2 linked regions of the Notamacropus eugenii genome follow. The protein of the gene in region 1 interacts with the protein of each later gene in a pairwise test. Links are inferred from orthologs where the notes say so. Each region holds a gene or a part of one and is shown on either strand. Other genes may lie near its edges.

Region 1 (8,246 bases):
AGAGACACAGCGAGACAAGGACACAGCGAGAGAGAAGGAGAGACAGAGGGAGAGACAGAGACAGACAGGCAGAGATAGACAGACAGAGACAAAGACAGATCTAGAGAGATTGAGACAGAGGGACAGAGAGAGAGAAAAAGAGAGGGGGGAAGATACGCAAAGATTGTGCTATAATATCTTATATTTGTATAATGATTTATAATTTACAAAGACCCTTCAAATTGGTGAGTAGCCCTCTAAGGTGCATAATGCAATAGAATTATCCTATGTTACAGAGGTTGAGATGTTAGATGATTTTTTTAAAAGACTACAGTAAGTGGTGGAGCCAGGATGAGAAATTAGAGCTCTCTGATTCCTAGTTTAGTACTCTTTTTGATATAGGAATCAGCGTGATATAATGGCTAGAGAGCTGACTTTGGAATCGGAAATGCCTTTGATATATATTAGCCATGGGATCACAGGCTAGTCACTGTTTCTCAGTGACCCAGACAACTCATATATAGCCAAACTTCCTATTTGCATTAGTGGAAGAAGTTCCACACCTATAAAATCACAGGTCTAGATCCCAAATAACAGCAATTTGAAACAATCACAAACCCTAGTCGGCAGAAATAGCTAGAAAGTGAGGCAGGAATTTGTGAGTGTGGTGTGACTTAGCAGGGCAGAGAAGCATTAACTCCCAAGACCTTCAAAACTCTATGAGCATGACGAGATCCTCAGGCATTCTACAATCAACAGAATCTCTGTGTGTCCAGAACAGCAGGTTTGCCAGAGTAATGAGACTGGGAGTTGCTTATCTCCATCAGCCAGTTTGGACTGCACAGTCAGGTTGGGTAAGGCAAAGTGAACTGGTAGACAGACGGAAAATAATTCTATATTTCCTTTCTCTCTCTCTCTCTCTCTCTCTCTCTCTCTCTCTCTCTCTCTCTCTCTCTCTCTCTCTCTATTTCTTTATTCTCTTTATTTCTTATAAAAATAGGAAAAGAACTTACCTCATAATTCTTCTACAGCTCGGTCAATTGCCTATGCAAAGGCAATTTCTAGGTTCATAGAATTGGACCTTAGAAATCACCACCTGTGGCAATCAGTGTTTTGATTCTCTATCTCCAGGGCCTCTCTTTTCCTTCCCCCACTGTTTAAAGGGCTAATTGGGTGTTTCAGGCTGCAATTTACTTTAGAATCTGCCTTTGACTTTATGAAACCCCAATGCCACTGACGGCCTGGGAGGTATGTTGACAGTGGTTTCTGAGTGTTTTCCAAATTCAAATCCAAGAAAGGAATTTGGCAGGAGTCATTGAGGATTGAGTAACAGACATAAAGAAATAACTTAATGAAATATACTTTTCATTAGTGTGGCCCCAGGAATCATTGAAGAATGATTTTAAATTTGGAAGGAACCTCAGTAGTCATATAGCCAAATTCATACCTGAACAAAAATTCCCTCTTTAATATATTCAACAATTGGTCATCAAGCCTTTCTTTGAAGACCCCAGTGAGGAGGAGGGTTCCACTACCTCCCAATGCAGCCCATTCCATTTTTGGATAACTTTAATTATTAGACATTCCCCCCCATTCTTTCTATAACTTCTACCAACTCTTCTGCTCATTGGGGACCAATGGAATAAAAACAAAGCCTCTTCCATATAGAAGAGCCATCATGTCTCCCCTCCTTAGTTTTCTCTCATTTGAGCTAAATACTCATAGATCCTTCAAATGATATGTCATAGGGCATGAACTTGACTCTCAAAATTGGTCATTCTTATCTGAAAACTAGTCTTGCCTTAAATATACTGTCCAGAATTGACTACAAAACTCTCTAACTGTGACCTGACTAGGACTGGGTACAGTGGGATTCTCACCTTATTCCTGGACACTAAGTTTCTCTTAATGGAGGCCAAGATCACTTTAGTTCCACTGACTGCTATATCTTAACTGACACATATTCACCTTGAATCAGTCTAGCAGCCCTTCCCTGTTTTTTTTCCCCAAACAAATTGCTGTCTAACTATTCATCCTCGATTATGCAATTCTGAAGTTGTCATTTGGACCCCTGCATAACAATTTTTTTTCTCTATTAAATTAGAATTGGGGACAGTACAGATTTGGTATGGCAGGGAGAAGAAGTCCCCTCTTAGAGCTATCCTCATTACCTTTGTGTCCTTTCAGGCCCCCTCATTCTAAATCCAGAAAGACTTAGAATAAGTTACTACATCTATTGAGTTGCTTTCTTTCCCTTTACCTCATACTACCTCCTCCTTTCAACAAACCAACAACTAACAACATGCCAGTCAGTACTGCCTAAGGTGGTCAGGACAACTGGAAATAGAACCTGATATGTTCTAAGTGTATTGGGAGAAGGGGTAGAGTACCCTCTATGGAATCATTCCTTCCCATTCCCCAAACCTGCCCATCACACATGAACAGTGCCAATTTACTCCCAAATAACATATGAAGGCACTAGCTGGCAAGGGTCATTTCTGCTTAACAGCTTATGCTGAACTTAATCTCCATCTGAGTTGTAGACCCTTGGAGCACAGAGACAGCTCAGATGGAAAGGTTTAATTTTTAACCATTCATGTACTTATTATGCAGAAATCATTTAGTGTGTATTTGTTAGAAGCAGGTTGCTATGTTAGGTGCAGGGAAAGAGGTACACTGCCCCTGCTCTGAAGGGATCTAAAATCCAGTAGGTTGTAACCATTAACATCTCCACCATCTTCATCCCCCTTCCTCATCACCATCACCAGTTAATTTTGCTCCTGCTCTGTGTAATAGACTACCCCATTCCCAACCTCATAGAAGGAATCATCTTTGTAAGTAAGAGAACCCTTGATAGCAGCAACTAACACATCCAAAGGCAACCTCTAATTAGGTTCATAGAATATTAGATCCAAAAGTTCCCTTAGGGGTCATCGTATCCAAGCCTCTCATTATAAAGTTGGGAAAATGGGGCTCCAAGAAGTTAAGTGACTCGTCTAAGGACACACAGGTAGTAAGAAGCAGAGCCAAGCTTTGAACCAAGGTCTTCTGGACCCAAATCCAGTGGTTTTCCCACTGCACCAAGCTACCTGTTTAAACCTGAGATAATTAAAACTCATTTCAACTTGTGACAACTCCCCTACCTATCTCAAAACCAATGATAGATGCTTGATTCCAAAGGGTTTCATAGGAGTCATCCCTCCAATTCCAGTGCTCAGACTGAGGATGGTGTTACAATGTAGAGGAACTATTGTGGTGTCTAGAGAAAAAAAAATCAATGGATTTGGGTTCAAATCCCAGTACTGTTCCTTATACCCTCTGTGACCTTTAAGTAAACCGTTTCCACTTTCTGTGCTTCTCTTTTTTCATCTGTAAAACTAAGGGAGTTGAATGAGATGATCTCCCAGATCCCTTTGAGCTCTAAAGCCTATGAACCTCCACTGAAGGAAAAGAAGGACTCAGGATTGTAAGCTTTTCCAGGGTGTCCTTCCATCTGGAGATCGGTTGCCCAGGAAAAAAGGGGGCAAAGATATTCCCCTTCCTTCCCAATTCATTCCAAGCACTCAGCTCTCAGCTTACCTCCTCTGAGCAGGTTGCACAGCTGTGACTCGGGAGGCAGGCAGCGTGACTCCCTGCTGTTAGGATGCTTTAATGGTAGTGGGGGGAGGATAGAGCTAGCTAACAGGTTCCACTGGTTATCTTACCTCTTCTATGGGGTAAAGAGGAATAGGAAAGGGGGTGGGGTGGGGCAGAGCTCCTCCTCTTGGTGGGACAGGCCTAGAAGTGTCCAAGGGAAAAGCAAGTGGGAACAGCTCCTCCTTGGAGAAAAAGTCAGGGCTGCAGTTCAGAAAACAGTCACCTTGATCCTCCTTACCACGCGGGGGTCCCCTACATAAAGGCACACTCAGTAAAGTCCCTCACAATCTATTAGTATTCCATTTTCCCTCCCTCTTTACCTCATTCTGATTTTCTCTTCTTTCTTCTCTCTATTCCTGGGCTCCACCCTCCCCCCAATCCTGTCCTGAGTGTCTTTACTCTCTCCTTCCTCCCTCCTCCTCCCCAGTTCCTAGGAGTTCCCTGTGCAGCCGGTTCAACTGGCTTGGTTCTCCCCCCACAAACCCCACACCCATGGTTACTTTCCTTAGAGAAGCCAACTTTCAAGATACCCACTGGTAGACGGGCCTTTGGCTCAGGGCTGATTATCCGCTGTCACCCCTACCCCACCAGATCCAGGGATTGGGACCCAGGGAGCAGAAACCTCATTTCTCCCTTTCTCTGGGTCTGGAGGACTTTCTAAACAGGCAAAAATCAATTCCCCTAAACCGTGAACCTCACCCAACAAGCCCTTCTTAAGTATACTACTATGTGCAGCTTGGAACTAGTGTCTAGGGATCCGGAGCCCAAATTGAAAGCAGCCCACGCCCATAAAGAGATTGCATTTGGGGGGGGGGGCACACAATCCACAAGCAAACAAATGCATGTAGCCTGGGAGGATGGCTGCAGCTCAGTTTTTGCTCCTACACCCAAAGGACCTATGGAAGGAGAGGGAGGGAGGGTCCTCTGTGTCTATGATAGGCTAGTAACTTGAGGAAGAGTGGATGATAATAATAAGATGGCATTTATATGGTGACTTAAGGCTGATAATGGGCTTTCCATATATTGTCTTACTGGTTCCTCACAACAAACCCTATGAGATTAGCACCATTGTTATCCTAGCTTTAGAGAGATGAGGAAACTGAAGCTAGAAGAGTTTAAATGCCTGGCCCAAAGTAACCCAGCTAGTAGTGTCTGAGGACAGGTCTTCCTAAGAATCTGTTCCCACTGTCAGGTCCCCAGTGAACCCATAGCATATTCTTTCAGGTTTTCACTTTACAGAATTTGAGACAGCTGGTGTGGTAGAAAGAGCGTGGACTACTGAGCCAGGCAGCAACCAACTAACCAAAGATTCATTGAATCAACAAATAATCTTGTCCCTGTCCTGTAAGTAGCTGGCTCTGGGAGGTTGTTTTAGTCACTAGGAGAGGCAAAGTGGCATATGCTGAGTCTAGAGACAGAAAGTCCTGGGTTCATGTCCCAACTTGGCAAGCCACTTAATTTCTCTCTGCCTCAGTTTCCTCATTTACAAATGTAGAAAATAGTAATGTGAACCAGCTGTGTGTCCCTGGTTCAATAACTTAATCTTTCAACCTCAGTGAAAGGCTGTTTATATATCATAATAATATATAACATTATACCTAATATTATATATAGTAATATATAAAAGCAATAACATGTTTAAGATGGAGTTGAATAGACTGTTGGCTAAGATCCCTTTCAGCCCTTACAGGTTATCATTTTATCACCTTATTCTGTAATGTCCTGGCTTTATCCCTTCATCAGCATCCTCTTCAGCTTACAGATGGCTTTAATGGGATAGGCTGCTGGAGACAGGAGTTCAATACATAGTTCCTGAAGCAATGACTACAGGTGCTTTTGAGCTCAGTGGAATGGTGGGAAGGATGTCTTGGACAGATCAAATTTTCCTCTGATTTTCCAGTGACAGGCCATATCATTTTATTTTATTGAGGTTTTATGGAGATCAACAAGGCAGTTTAAGCAATGCCTCCAGCCTATTATTAAAAAGCAATTAGCCATTCTAATAAATGGCTGTTCCAGTGAAGAAAATGATAGTGTTAAAATGTTAAAGGAGAAACAAGGCAGACTCTTCTCCCTTTCTCTTCTTGATCTCTAAGGGGTTTTAAGAATTTTACGATTCCATTGCACTTCTCTGTTGATGAGGACTGCTGTGTTTGTCCCCATGGAGCTGAGAGCTCTGGGGGAATTTCAACTTTGGGAAATTTTGCTAAAAGGTAGTGACCATATTCTCTGATTCCTAGAATGGAATCCATGTTTTTGCTCTGCTTCATCTCTGATGAGATCCAAATACTGTTCTGACATCACATAGGTCCTCTTGAGGGCTTCAGGCTCCCTCTCCTCCCAGGAATGTCCTGGCTTCATCCCTTCATCAGCATCCTCTTCAGCTTACAGATGGCTTTAATGGGACAGGCTGCTGGAGGCAGGAGAGAATATGAATTGTTTTTCTGTATCCATTTACCATTTTCTGATTCAGGTTCAACACTAGAATATGGTCCTCAAATTCTGACAGATTTCTCATGTATATGTGTATATATGGGTGTACATATACATATATACATATACACACATACATTAACTAGACAGCCACCCTGGTTCTAAATATCTTATCGGAAAGGGCATAGACCATAGAACTTAAGGATTTTGATCTGGAAGAGATTTTTGAAATCAGCTAGTCCAGAGCACTCATGCTATAGAGAAGGAGGGAGGGAGAGAGGGAATGGGGATGGAGAGAGAGAGAGATTGAGGTCCCTCAGGTAGTAAGTAGTATTAGGATTTGAACTCAGGTCTTCTGGCTCCAAATCAAATGTTCTTTCCATGATGCCACAGGAAATCCAGAACTGGAAGCCATGAACCTAGTGGACACTCAATGAATCTTCAAGGATGGGAGTGTTATTATCTTTCTTTTACACTGGGGAAATGCATTTCCCTTTTCTTTCCTTGTCTATAGCTCTGAGGTTCAATATGTGATGAAACAATGAAATACAGCAATGTAGTTGTGCTCAGAGTTCCATTTTTCCATATCTAGATTACTATAATATTTTCCTAGTGCTGGGTTCCCTGCCTGTCTTTTTTTTTTTTTTTTTAAAGATCAGATCATCCTGTATTTTGCTGTCCTTAAATGTTGTTTTCATTATGTTATTTTTTCGTTCAAGTAACGATCAGCAAAGACTTCTTACTATTCCAATGTTAAATCTACACTTCTTAGAATGGCATTCAAATCCCTAGATAAGCTAGCTTGACTTTTGTTATCCAGCCTCATCTTATTTCTTCCTGGAAAAGAAAATACAGTCTCACTTTGAAAGCCGGGGAAGTCTTGCTCTGGGTTTTTCTTCATAATATTTTACCTATTGAGAAGACTCTAGTAATTTCCTTTCAATTCATATATATTTCCTCTCTCAGAAACCAGTTTGAGTAATTTCTTCCAAGAAGCCTTCCCTGGTTAATCTCACTGCATTCTTTGTGCACCCTCGCTTACTTTGTGTTCCTTCCTGTGGACCCATGTCCATAGCTGGTGTTGTGTTACCTCATACATTTATCCCTTCCACATCATAGGGATTAGTGGTACAGTGCCCCTGTGATCTGGAAAATCCTTGTAAAATGTTTTGACTCTCCCTTCATACCAGAGAAGAAGTCTGCATTTTTTCTTTTTTTATGGGGTGTTTACAGTATAAAAAAATTATTATATTGTTAAATTATTAATTAATATTATATTATTATATATTATATTTATATTATGTATAATATAATTATAAAATTAATATTATATTATTAAATTATTAAAAATTATATTATTATAAAATTTGGGTTGTTATTATGTAATCCTATACATATATTTTATGCATTTCCAAATGTCTAAACTTTTTCTGCGTTGTCTGCTGGCTTTTGTGTGTTGTCTGTGGCTTCTGTAAAATTCCCCCCAAATTCCAGTTTAACTTCGTATGCTGACCTGCAATATATTGAAACTGTGATGGAGAAAGTTGCAATGTGGAACTGATACCTGTATAAACTGTTGCTCCCTAGGGGTTGTGCCTTCCAACTGAATTGTACCCTCTGCATAAAAAGGGACTGGGCTTTCTACTTCTCTGTATTATACACAATAAGTACTCAGTCTATGTCAAGAATATTTTGTAACCTACCAGTGGTAAGTACCTTTGATACCTTGAAACATGGCTAACATCTATCAAAGGCTATATGGATTGGGTTTTGGAGAGAAAAGAGCTCCGGACTGTGAATCAGGCTTTGGGCTAGTTACTTCTCTGGGTCTCATTTTTCTCCTTTGCAGACCAAGCGGGCTATGCTTGCTGACCTTTTAGATTCTTACTACCCTGTAACACATTTTTTGAGCTTAAAGAAGCCCCAGTGGTCTAGTCTGACCCTCTCATTTCATAGATGAGGAGACAGAGGCCTGGGGACACAGAACAAGGATGCTGCTGGGCAGACTGCTGCATGGTGTTGGGGGATGAAGGGAGCTCACACCATTCTACCATCTTGCACCTTCCTATTATCACTAATTATACTTGTTAAATTGTTACTAAGACCTGCTGTTTCTAAAATGCTGAAGGAGTAAGTCCTGTTATTTTTTGATGCTGAAGAAATACAAGTGCTCCCAGTGAACTTCCAAGTTTAGTATC
Region 2 (8,613 bases), on another chromosome or scaffold:
TTTTGTAGGGTTCTGTCACTGCTTCCTCCAGGGACTCTTACGTTGTGTTCTTCAAGAAGATCTAGAAGTTTGGGACAGCAATCTATACCAGGATAATCCATAGCTTGACCTTATCTTTGCCTTCCTGATCTGAACCTTGCAGGTTCCTGACCTTCAGTCTGAGTTCTGAGTAATATTGCTATATAGCTTTGAAGGTAACCTCAGAAAAGATTGCATCTAGTAGGTTAAACCAGTAAATCCATGTTCTTATCTCCCTGTTCCTGGGTACTTAGCTACATATTCCAGATTTGGAAAGCTTCTGTTCAGTGTGATTTTGAAGTGGACTTTTCTTGCTAAAATCCTTTGCTTTTGATTTTCTCTTTTGTGTCACCATAGGCTGTAAAATGCAACACAATCTCTCTTTAGATTTCTTGATCATTATTTGGTATGGTGCTAATTTTTCATCCTTTCTGGAGTAGGAGAGTGGGGCTCTTCTGCTCTCATTTATTCTGCCATCTTGAAGTAATCTCTTGAATAGACAATTTTCAGAAGAAGAAACGCAAACTACCATCAACTATATGAAAAAATACTTCTTTTGTTGTGAAGTCATTTCATAGTCTGCATGATTTCATTTGGGGTTTTCTTGGCAGAGATAGTACAGCGGTTTGCTGTTTCATTCTTCAGCTCACTTTATAGAAGAAGAACTAGGGCAAACAGGGTTGTGTCATATAGCTAGTAAGTGTCTGATGTTGGATTTGAACTCGGGTCCTCCTGACCAGCGCCACTGTTGTATCCACTGTGCCATCTAATTGCCCTACAAAATTGCTACATTATCATTAATAATAGAAGAAATGTATATTAAACCTTGAGGTTTTTATCTTGTACCATAAGACTGGTAAATATGACAAAAGAAGAAAATGGTAAATGTTGGAGTTGTTATGGGAAGATACTCATTGATAGCTGAGTTGTAAACTGACCTGTTTGGATATCATTAGGAATTATACTAAGAAAAAGCACTAAATTGTACATACATATCAAAGTGAAGCCTATGTATCATGGAAGTCAAAGGCAACAGGAAAGCTCTCTATGTATAAAAATATTTATAGTAGCACTTTTGTGGTGGCAAAAAACTGCCCATCAACTGGATGATGGCTGAACAAACTGTAATATATGAATTTAATAGAACAATGTTTTACTATAACAAATGACAAATATGAAGACTTCAGAGAAACTTGAGAAGCCTTATATAAATTGACAGGGCAAAGAAAGCAGGACCAGGAGACAATTTATACAATGACAACACTGATATAAAGGACAACAATACTGAAAACTTAAGAACTTTGAACAACATAGTAACTAATTTGACCTCAGGAATGATGGTGAAATATGTCTCTTCCCTTTTTACAGAAAAATAGCAGAGTGCAGGAGTAGAAAAAGTCATGTAATTTCATATATGACAAATATGTTAATTTGTTTTTCTTAAATGTGCTTATTTCTTACAAGAGATGGTTTTGTTATTGGGAGAATCATTGGGAACTGGCAGGCAGTGTTGTTAAAAGAAAAAGGGGAGAGGTCATCGATAAAGTACGAAAAAGAAAAAAACAACAAAAAAAAGGAAAACAAAAGAGTTGTGTGTTGTTGTAGCCAAAATATGTATCAATTTGTAGCTAACCTGTTGATTTACCTTTCAAAATCTAGCTGGACTGCTTGAAAGGTAGCAAAGAGTTCGTCATTGGTTGTTGTTGTTGTATCTGACTCTTTGTGACCTTGTGAACTATACTGTCCATGGGGTTTTCTTGGCAAAATTATGGTTGTGGCTTGCCACAGTGGATTAAGGCAAACAGAGGTTAAGTGACTTGCCCAGAGTCTGAGGTAGGATTTAAACTTAGGTCTTCCTGACTCCAGGCCAGCACTCTATCCACTGGGCTGCCTAGTTGCCTCTTGACATTGTCATTGGGACCATAATCAAAAGTTTTTATAGCTGGAACAAACAATGCTTATGTCCTATTGACATAGCTTTTGAGAACCCAGGGTCACTTCCATGCTATGATAAGGAAGTAGGGGGATGTTGGCGGAGACTTCCATAATTAATTAGAAAAATAATCCTGGTCTTTTCTTGCAAATCAAGAACTACTCAAATATTTAAGATTTCTAGGAGAATTTGTAGAGTTCTGGGCCAATATGAAAGGTGAAAGATAATAAAAGAGGCAACAGTATAGGTTGAAAGTTTCAACTAAGATAAAGGAGCATTTAGTTAATTTCCAGTGGGGAATTATTTAGTTGTGAAGGATAAAACATCTTTTAACTTTTTCAAAAGAATCTAACAAACAAATGTGTTTTTAGTATGATAATTTTGTCAAATGCTAAAAAAAGAAAGCAGATTTCTTCCATGTTCCTATTTTCCTAAGCTTTCAACCTAAACTGTTGAATTTTTTTATCCCTTTTTTTCTTTCCTAGTGGCCAAGAATCATGTACTCTGCATTTTTAAAGACCAAATTAAATTTCTTTGGCTTCTCAAAAACCATTCTTTGGCCTTTGATACTACTCAAGTTTCTCCCTTAGCACAGTGATTTACACTAAGTACTTAATAAACACTTTTTTCTCCTGGAAATATCAGACTATGACTTGATTGATAGCTTAAGTCTTCATAGATGTCATTTAAAAGGTCAAACTCCTCTAAAACTATTAAAAAAATAATATAGGACAATTTTTATTTCATCTACAAAAGAATACAAATAGTATAAATTACATCTAGCATTTATACAGTGCTTCAAAGATTTGCAAAGCATTTTGTTATTTTGTTTGAGGTAGAGGTGCTATTATTATCCCTATTTTATGGATACACACAAATTACGTAAGTTATTCCTCCCCTTTCTACACAGGCCTTTTGATTCCCAGACAGAATTTGGTTAAATCTCCTCCCTACCCTGTTTCTTCCCTCATTTTACAAATGAAGAAATTAAGGCCGACCAGGTAGAATGACTTGCCCAAGGTTACAGAGGGGGTGGTAGAAATCCAGGACTCAAATCTAGGTTAGTCATTAGATCCAGCACTCACTGTAACCTGTTGGTCTAATTTTTTGTTGTTGTTTGGAGGCAATTTAGTGACTTGCTTGGAACCAAACAGCTAGAAAGTGTCTGAGGCTGGATTTGAATTCAGGTCCTCCTGACTCCAGGGCTGGTACTCTATCCACTGCTCCACCTAGCTGCCTCTACCTGGTCTAATCATTGTTAGCCATCCAGTGACCTTCTCACTTTTCTTAAATAAAAGACTAGGAGTAGCTTCTGACCTCTAACCTGACCATACTAAGTTACAACTCTTATCACCCAGAACTTCCTTGTTTCCCACATACCCATATATTTAGAGCTAGAAGGGCACTTAGAGGTCATTGAGTCCACTCTGTAGTGAGGGTGAGGAAGGCCAGTACCACACTGGAAGAAACTGTTCCTGATATTTGCTATCCACTTTATAATTGCATGCATTTTTACCGTGTTATTTAACAGAAAGAAATAAATGATTATTTGCTTCATGCTTCCTCCCTCCCAAACCTAAAGCTATGGACAAGGTCAAAACAGCACAGATCAAAACAAGTGTAGGGTAAAACCATTCACTGACTTCAGTGATAGATGCTGCCACGTTTCAGTACAACACGCTTTTAAGGAAATACTAAAAATTGCAAGGGCCAACCAATCCCACCAAAGAATCGCAGGCTATCCTACTGACTTAAATATAGAACAGCCAACTATCAAACACACACACTTCCTTCCATTTCCCTTTCTTGGCCTTCCTTAGACAAAGAAAAACAAACAAAAATTCCTGTCATCCCCAGAGTGGATGTTAGAGCGCCTTCATCCAGCAGCTATGTCCCAGATAGGATGACTCCATAATGGGAAACAAAGAGGGAAGATCCTAAGTGGCTTTCAGGAGGAAATTAGCAGGCAGAAATGTTGATTCGTTAAAAACTGTTGCTTTTGAGTCTGGGTTCTGTTCCATAGCAATGTTTTTCCAACAATCCCCAAGGGACCACTCAGTGAGACCACTTCCAGCGAGTCCGGTCCCCTGCGCAGGACACAAGTTTCCTCGCTAGCCACCCGAAGGCCAGGATCGTCTGATACTGTCTGACGCTGATACTGTTTCAAGCTCAGGCATTTTATGTTTCTGCAGTTGAGTGAGGTGGGGGGGGGGGGGGGGGGGGGGGGGTCTACCAAGGAAGGTCCTGGGCTTTCTGGCCCGTTGGGAAAACCAAAGCTTCCTCCTCCCTTACAAAGGCTGCTGGGTGGCTCGGTGGGCACAGCGCTGGAGCTGGAGCTGGAGTCGGGAACACCCGCGTTCCAATGTGGCCTCAGACACGTGGTGCGTGAGCCTGGCAGAGTCAAATGGCAGACCATGAAAACCCCACCAACGTGGGGTCGCGTGGGGTGACACAGAGTCGGACACGCGTTAACAACATTCTTTCCCAGTAGTTTCTCCAGGCCTTCAAAAGCGGAAGGTGCGTCAAGGTCCCGAGTTCGATTCCAGCTCTGCCACTGATGGGAGGTCTTGCACAAATCACTCTCCGGGCTTTAGTAAAACGAGTTGGGGTGATTGTTGTGATTAGCTGACTGCTAAAGGGTCTTCAGGTTCTAGATCTAGGCCTCTCCGATCTCCGGGTACAACCTAGGAGGCTGGGAGGTAACTCCAGGACAACTGCACCTCGTAGGTTAAACCCGTAAGGGAAACTAGGAGGCGGGCGTCGCGCGTCACTCAGGCGCAGGGGCCCGGCGGCTGCGCGTGCGCCAAGCCCGGCCCGTCAGTTCTCCTGCGGGTACGAGCTTCCCCGGAGACGCCAGGCGGACGGTTATCCAGACCGCGCATCCGCCCCTCCCCTCCGCCTCTTCACCCTTCCGCCTTCCCTTCCTCTGGCGCCCCCCGCTGACGCCAGTTTCCGGTTCAGCGGTCCCCCGCGCGAGGGCGTCCCGCCCCTTCCGCCCCGACAGCAGCGGCGGCTGCTCCTCCTCCTCCTCCCCCTCCCGGTCTCCTGTCACATTCGGCGGCTGCGTCCCCTCGGAGGCTCCTCCGCGTGACCGGGAGCCGGGCCCCAGGGGTTGATGGCGATCAACTATAACGCTAAGGACGAGGTGGACGGCGGGCACGGGTCGAGCCTGGTGGTGGGCAGCCATGCGGGGCCCGGGAATGCGATTGGGGGCGGCGGGCCGAAGAGCCGACGGCCGGACAACACGGCCTTCAAGCAGCAGCGGCTCCCGGCTTGGCAGCCCATCCTGACCGCGGGCACCGTGCTGCCGGCCTTCTTCATCGTCGGCCTCATCTTCATCCCCATCGGCATCGGCGTTTTCGTCACCTCCAACAACATCCGCGAGTTTGAGGTGAGGGACTGAAGGACGGAGGGGCAGGGGCCGTGGGAGCCCGAGGGGGCCGTGGGAGCCCGAGGTGTCCGCTGCCCCCTCACCGCCCTCGGCCGCCTCCGCGTCTGTTTACCTGCCCTTGCTCTCGGGACCGGTGCGCTGTCCATCTTGCTCTGGAGTCTTCCGGGATTTCCTCCGGGCTGTGACTAAGGCGGATAACGATCGGATGAGGGCAGCGGTGGAGGGGTTGTTTGTTTTGTTGTTTTGGTTTGGCTTTGGAGGGGGTGGGGGAGAAAGCCCCTTCATTATGACAAGTGTATCTTGACACTTTGCTGACTCGTCTCTCTGCATGACAGCAGGGTGCTGTTAACAGCCTTCCTGCAGGAAGTGAAGCCAAGGGATGGCTGGCTGGACGGGCAGAGGGAATTTAAAATGTTACGGTGTAGTTACCTGGCTGTGAGCTTGTGGACAGCAGGGTTAGCCCCTGGATTGTGGGGAAAAGGAATCAGAAACACGTTGATATTGGTGATGGTGCCGGTGCATGAAAGAGCATTACACAGATAACCTCTAGGTTTGGGTATAAACAGGTCTTTTTAGTTATAAAGTATGAGGTTAATCAAACTTTGAAATGTCACTTCTGTTTTAAGGTTTTTAACGTTTTGTATCGTAATTTAGTTCTCTTATTACTAATCCTGTTCATCATAATCCTCAGAGATGTGGTCTAAGCAGTTCTGCAGATTAAAAAAAAAGAAGGCAGGTCTTGGAGTGGGGAGAGAGCATCATCTTAAAGCACTGAGATGACTACTGTACTTTTGTTGGTAGGGTAGCAGCATTGATGAAAGCCAGGGTTATTTTCAGACAGCCAAGAGCCAGTCTTCCATTAATGGCTTCTTGGAAAACAGTAATCAATAAACTTTTATTAAGTGCCTACTATGTACCAGGAGCTGAGGATATAAATAAAAAAGTGAGATAGTCTTTGCCTTATAAATAAAGGATATATATTTGAAAATGTGCAGTGATGTCAGGGCCACTACCAGTTGGGGGAATAAGGAGGTGCTTTGTAGGAGGTGACAGTTGCTAAGCCTGGAAGGGAAGTAGGGGTTCCAAAAGGCATGAGTGAGGTTGCAGCACATTGCATGGGGGAGTGGGGAGGGGGGAGGCCAATAGATAACCTGTAAATCAAAGAATTAAGATACGGAAAATGGCAAGTGGGCCAATTTGACTGGAAGGTAGAATATTTGAAAGGGAGTCATCTGAATAATGCCAGAAAACTAGGTTGGAGCTAGATTGTGCAAGATTTTAAATGTCTAGTGGAGAAACTTGTATTTTGACCTAAAGGCAGTGGAGTGTTACTGAAGCTTCTTTAACAAGAGAAGTGGCTTGGTCAGACCTGTAAGTTGGATGTATCAATTTAGCAGTTATACCGTGAAGGAGGATTTGGAGAGAGGAGAGACTGGATGCAAGGAGATAGAGCACTGTCTTGTGTCTTTCCATCTGGCTCTCTGTATTGGGAAAAATAAGGTTAAAGTACCATTTTAGAATCTCCATTCTACCAGTAAATAAATTGCATTACTCCCCATGTTCTATGCAACTATATATTTTCTCTCTGCCTATTTTGTTACTTTTAAAAGGAGAGGGATGGGGGGCAGCTAAGTGGCCAGTTGAATTGAGCACTGGCCCTGGAATCAGGAGGATCTGAGCTCAAAATTGACCTTAGACAATTACTAGCTGTGTGACCCTGGACAAGTCACTTAATTTTGATCGCCTGCCCAAAACAAAACCCCAAAAATAAAAGATGAGGGATGAATACTGAAGTTTTTTGATCCCTCCCCTGCCCGTTTTTTTAAAACTACTTTTATTTCCTTATCCAGTTTTTGTAAAAGAGTACAAATAGCTTTATAGTCCTTTGGGGCTTATATGTGTATTCTAGTAGGGCTTTTAGGGTTATTCCTTTTTTTTTTTTTAATTGGTATATGCCTTATCAAAAAGTGCACAGGTGTCTGCTTTCTTGTTTGTAATTTTTTCTTGTTTAATTGCATCCTAGAAGGCATGTGAGACCACAAGTTCTATGTGTTTGGCTGAGGAGATAAATTCATAGAGGTACATTGTAGTTCCTAGGGTCAAAAAATTCATCACCAGCTAGGCAAGCTTCTGGTAATGAATATTCTTGGTCTCAGAAACTCCTGAAATTATGTGTATCAGGGACAGAGGAAGTACCAACATTAGTGAAAATAGGTAATAGCGATAGTGAATAGCAGAGCTGGAACTTGAACCCCTATCTACTCATTTCAAATCCAGGCTTCTTTTATTACAATATGAGAAATTTTATAATTTTAGCTTTGGTTTTGTAGAATGAGAAAGTTGAACTAAATGATTTCTAACATTTCTTTTAATTTTAATATTCTGATTCTAATTTTAGATCTTTTATAGATTCTTATTTTAAAATTTTGTTACTTTTGGAGACTTGAAGAAATGACTATCTCTTTAGCATATAAAAATCCAGATAATTTCCCCAAACACTGCCAGTTATACCCAGGGTTTCACATTTGCCTAAACAAGTATGTAGCCCAAAGTATGTTGTGTTTTCATGCAGCTGTGTAACAGGAAGTTCTTGTCATGACTAAGAAACCGTAAGCCTCCACCACCTTTTAAATTTATTTCCCCATATCTCAATTTCTTTGTCGTCATTTCATTGTACTACGCTAGCATACCAAGGCAAAGTAAACTTTGGCACTTTTATAAAGGGTTTCATTTGAAGATTAGGATATTCTTGCATTCTGCTTCAGATTTTCAAGTCTGAGATAAAATCAGTTGATAATTATCTGCCACCAAGGAATGTTACAAAAAGAGTAATTAATTGTCTATAGGTTACCTTGGACTCCTGAAAAAGGTGCTTGTTCTTTCCATATTCTAATGCTTGTAGCTGACAGCCTGCTTATTTCTCCCATGAAATATGTCTATTTTTGTTTGGTGGTGTTTTTAGATTTGCCTAGTATAAATAAAATAAAATTAATAGGAATTGTGTTATTGTAATTTATCTGCTTTCATACTTTGAAGTATGTTTGTCAATTGATCTGTGTTTTCCTCAGTGTGTAGATACTCTAAATAACCATGCAGATATGAACAAGGTTCATATCCTCCAGTAAATCCTTTGCTGTCTTTTACTCTGCTTCTCTTTACACAGTTACTGATTGGTGCTTTTTGTATTCTGCTTACACCTACCACATAACTTTTCAATACCCTTTGCATGAGACTCAATTTAATTTGTATAATTCTTTAAAAACATTTTTAA

What was found.
Region 2: the proteins of ATP10B (region 1) and TMEM30A interact in a protein complementation assay, tested with the Homo sapiens proteins (2 studies listed by IntAct, with this or other methods). The link is inferred for Notamacropus eugenii from reciprocal best matches to the Homo sapiens genes ATP10B and TMEM30A.

Annotation. Positions count from the first base shown.
Region 1 is NC_092872.1:390,272,703-390,280,948, forward strand, and holds the start of ATP10B (phospholipid-transporting ATPase VB), read right to left. Parts: upstream 3,608-8,246; 5' UTR 3,559-3,607; intron 1-3,558. UniProt on the Homo sapiens protein: Catalytic component of a P4-ATPase flippase complex, which catalyzes the hydrolysis of ATP coupled to the transport of glucosylceramide (GlcCer) from the outer to the inner leaflet of lysosome membranes.
Region 2 is NC_092873.1:145,188,642-145,197,254, reverse strand, and holds the start of TMEM30A (cell cycle control protein 50A), read left to right. Parts: upstream 1-4,927; 5' UTR 4,928-5,066; coding exon 5,067-5,342; intron 5,343-5,454; exon of another isoform or gene 5,455-5,729; intron 5,730-8,613. UniProt on the Homo sapiens protein: Accessory component of a P4-ATPase flippase complex which catalyzes the hydrolysis of ATP coupled to the transport of aminophospholipids from the outer to the inner leaflet of various membranes and ensures the maintenance of asymmetric distribution of phospholipids.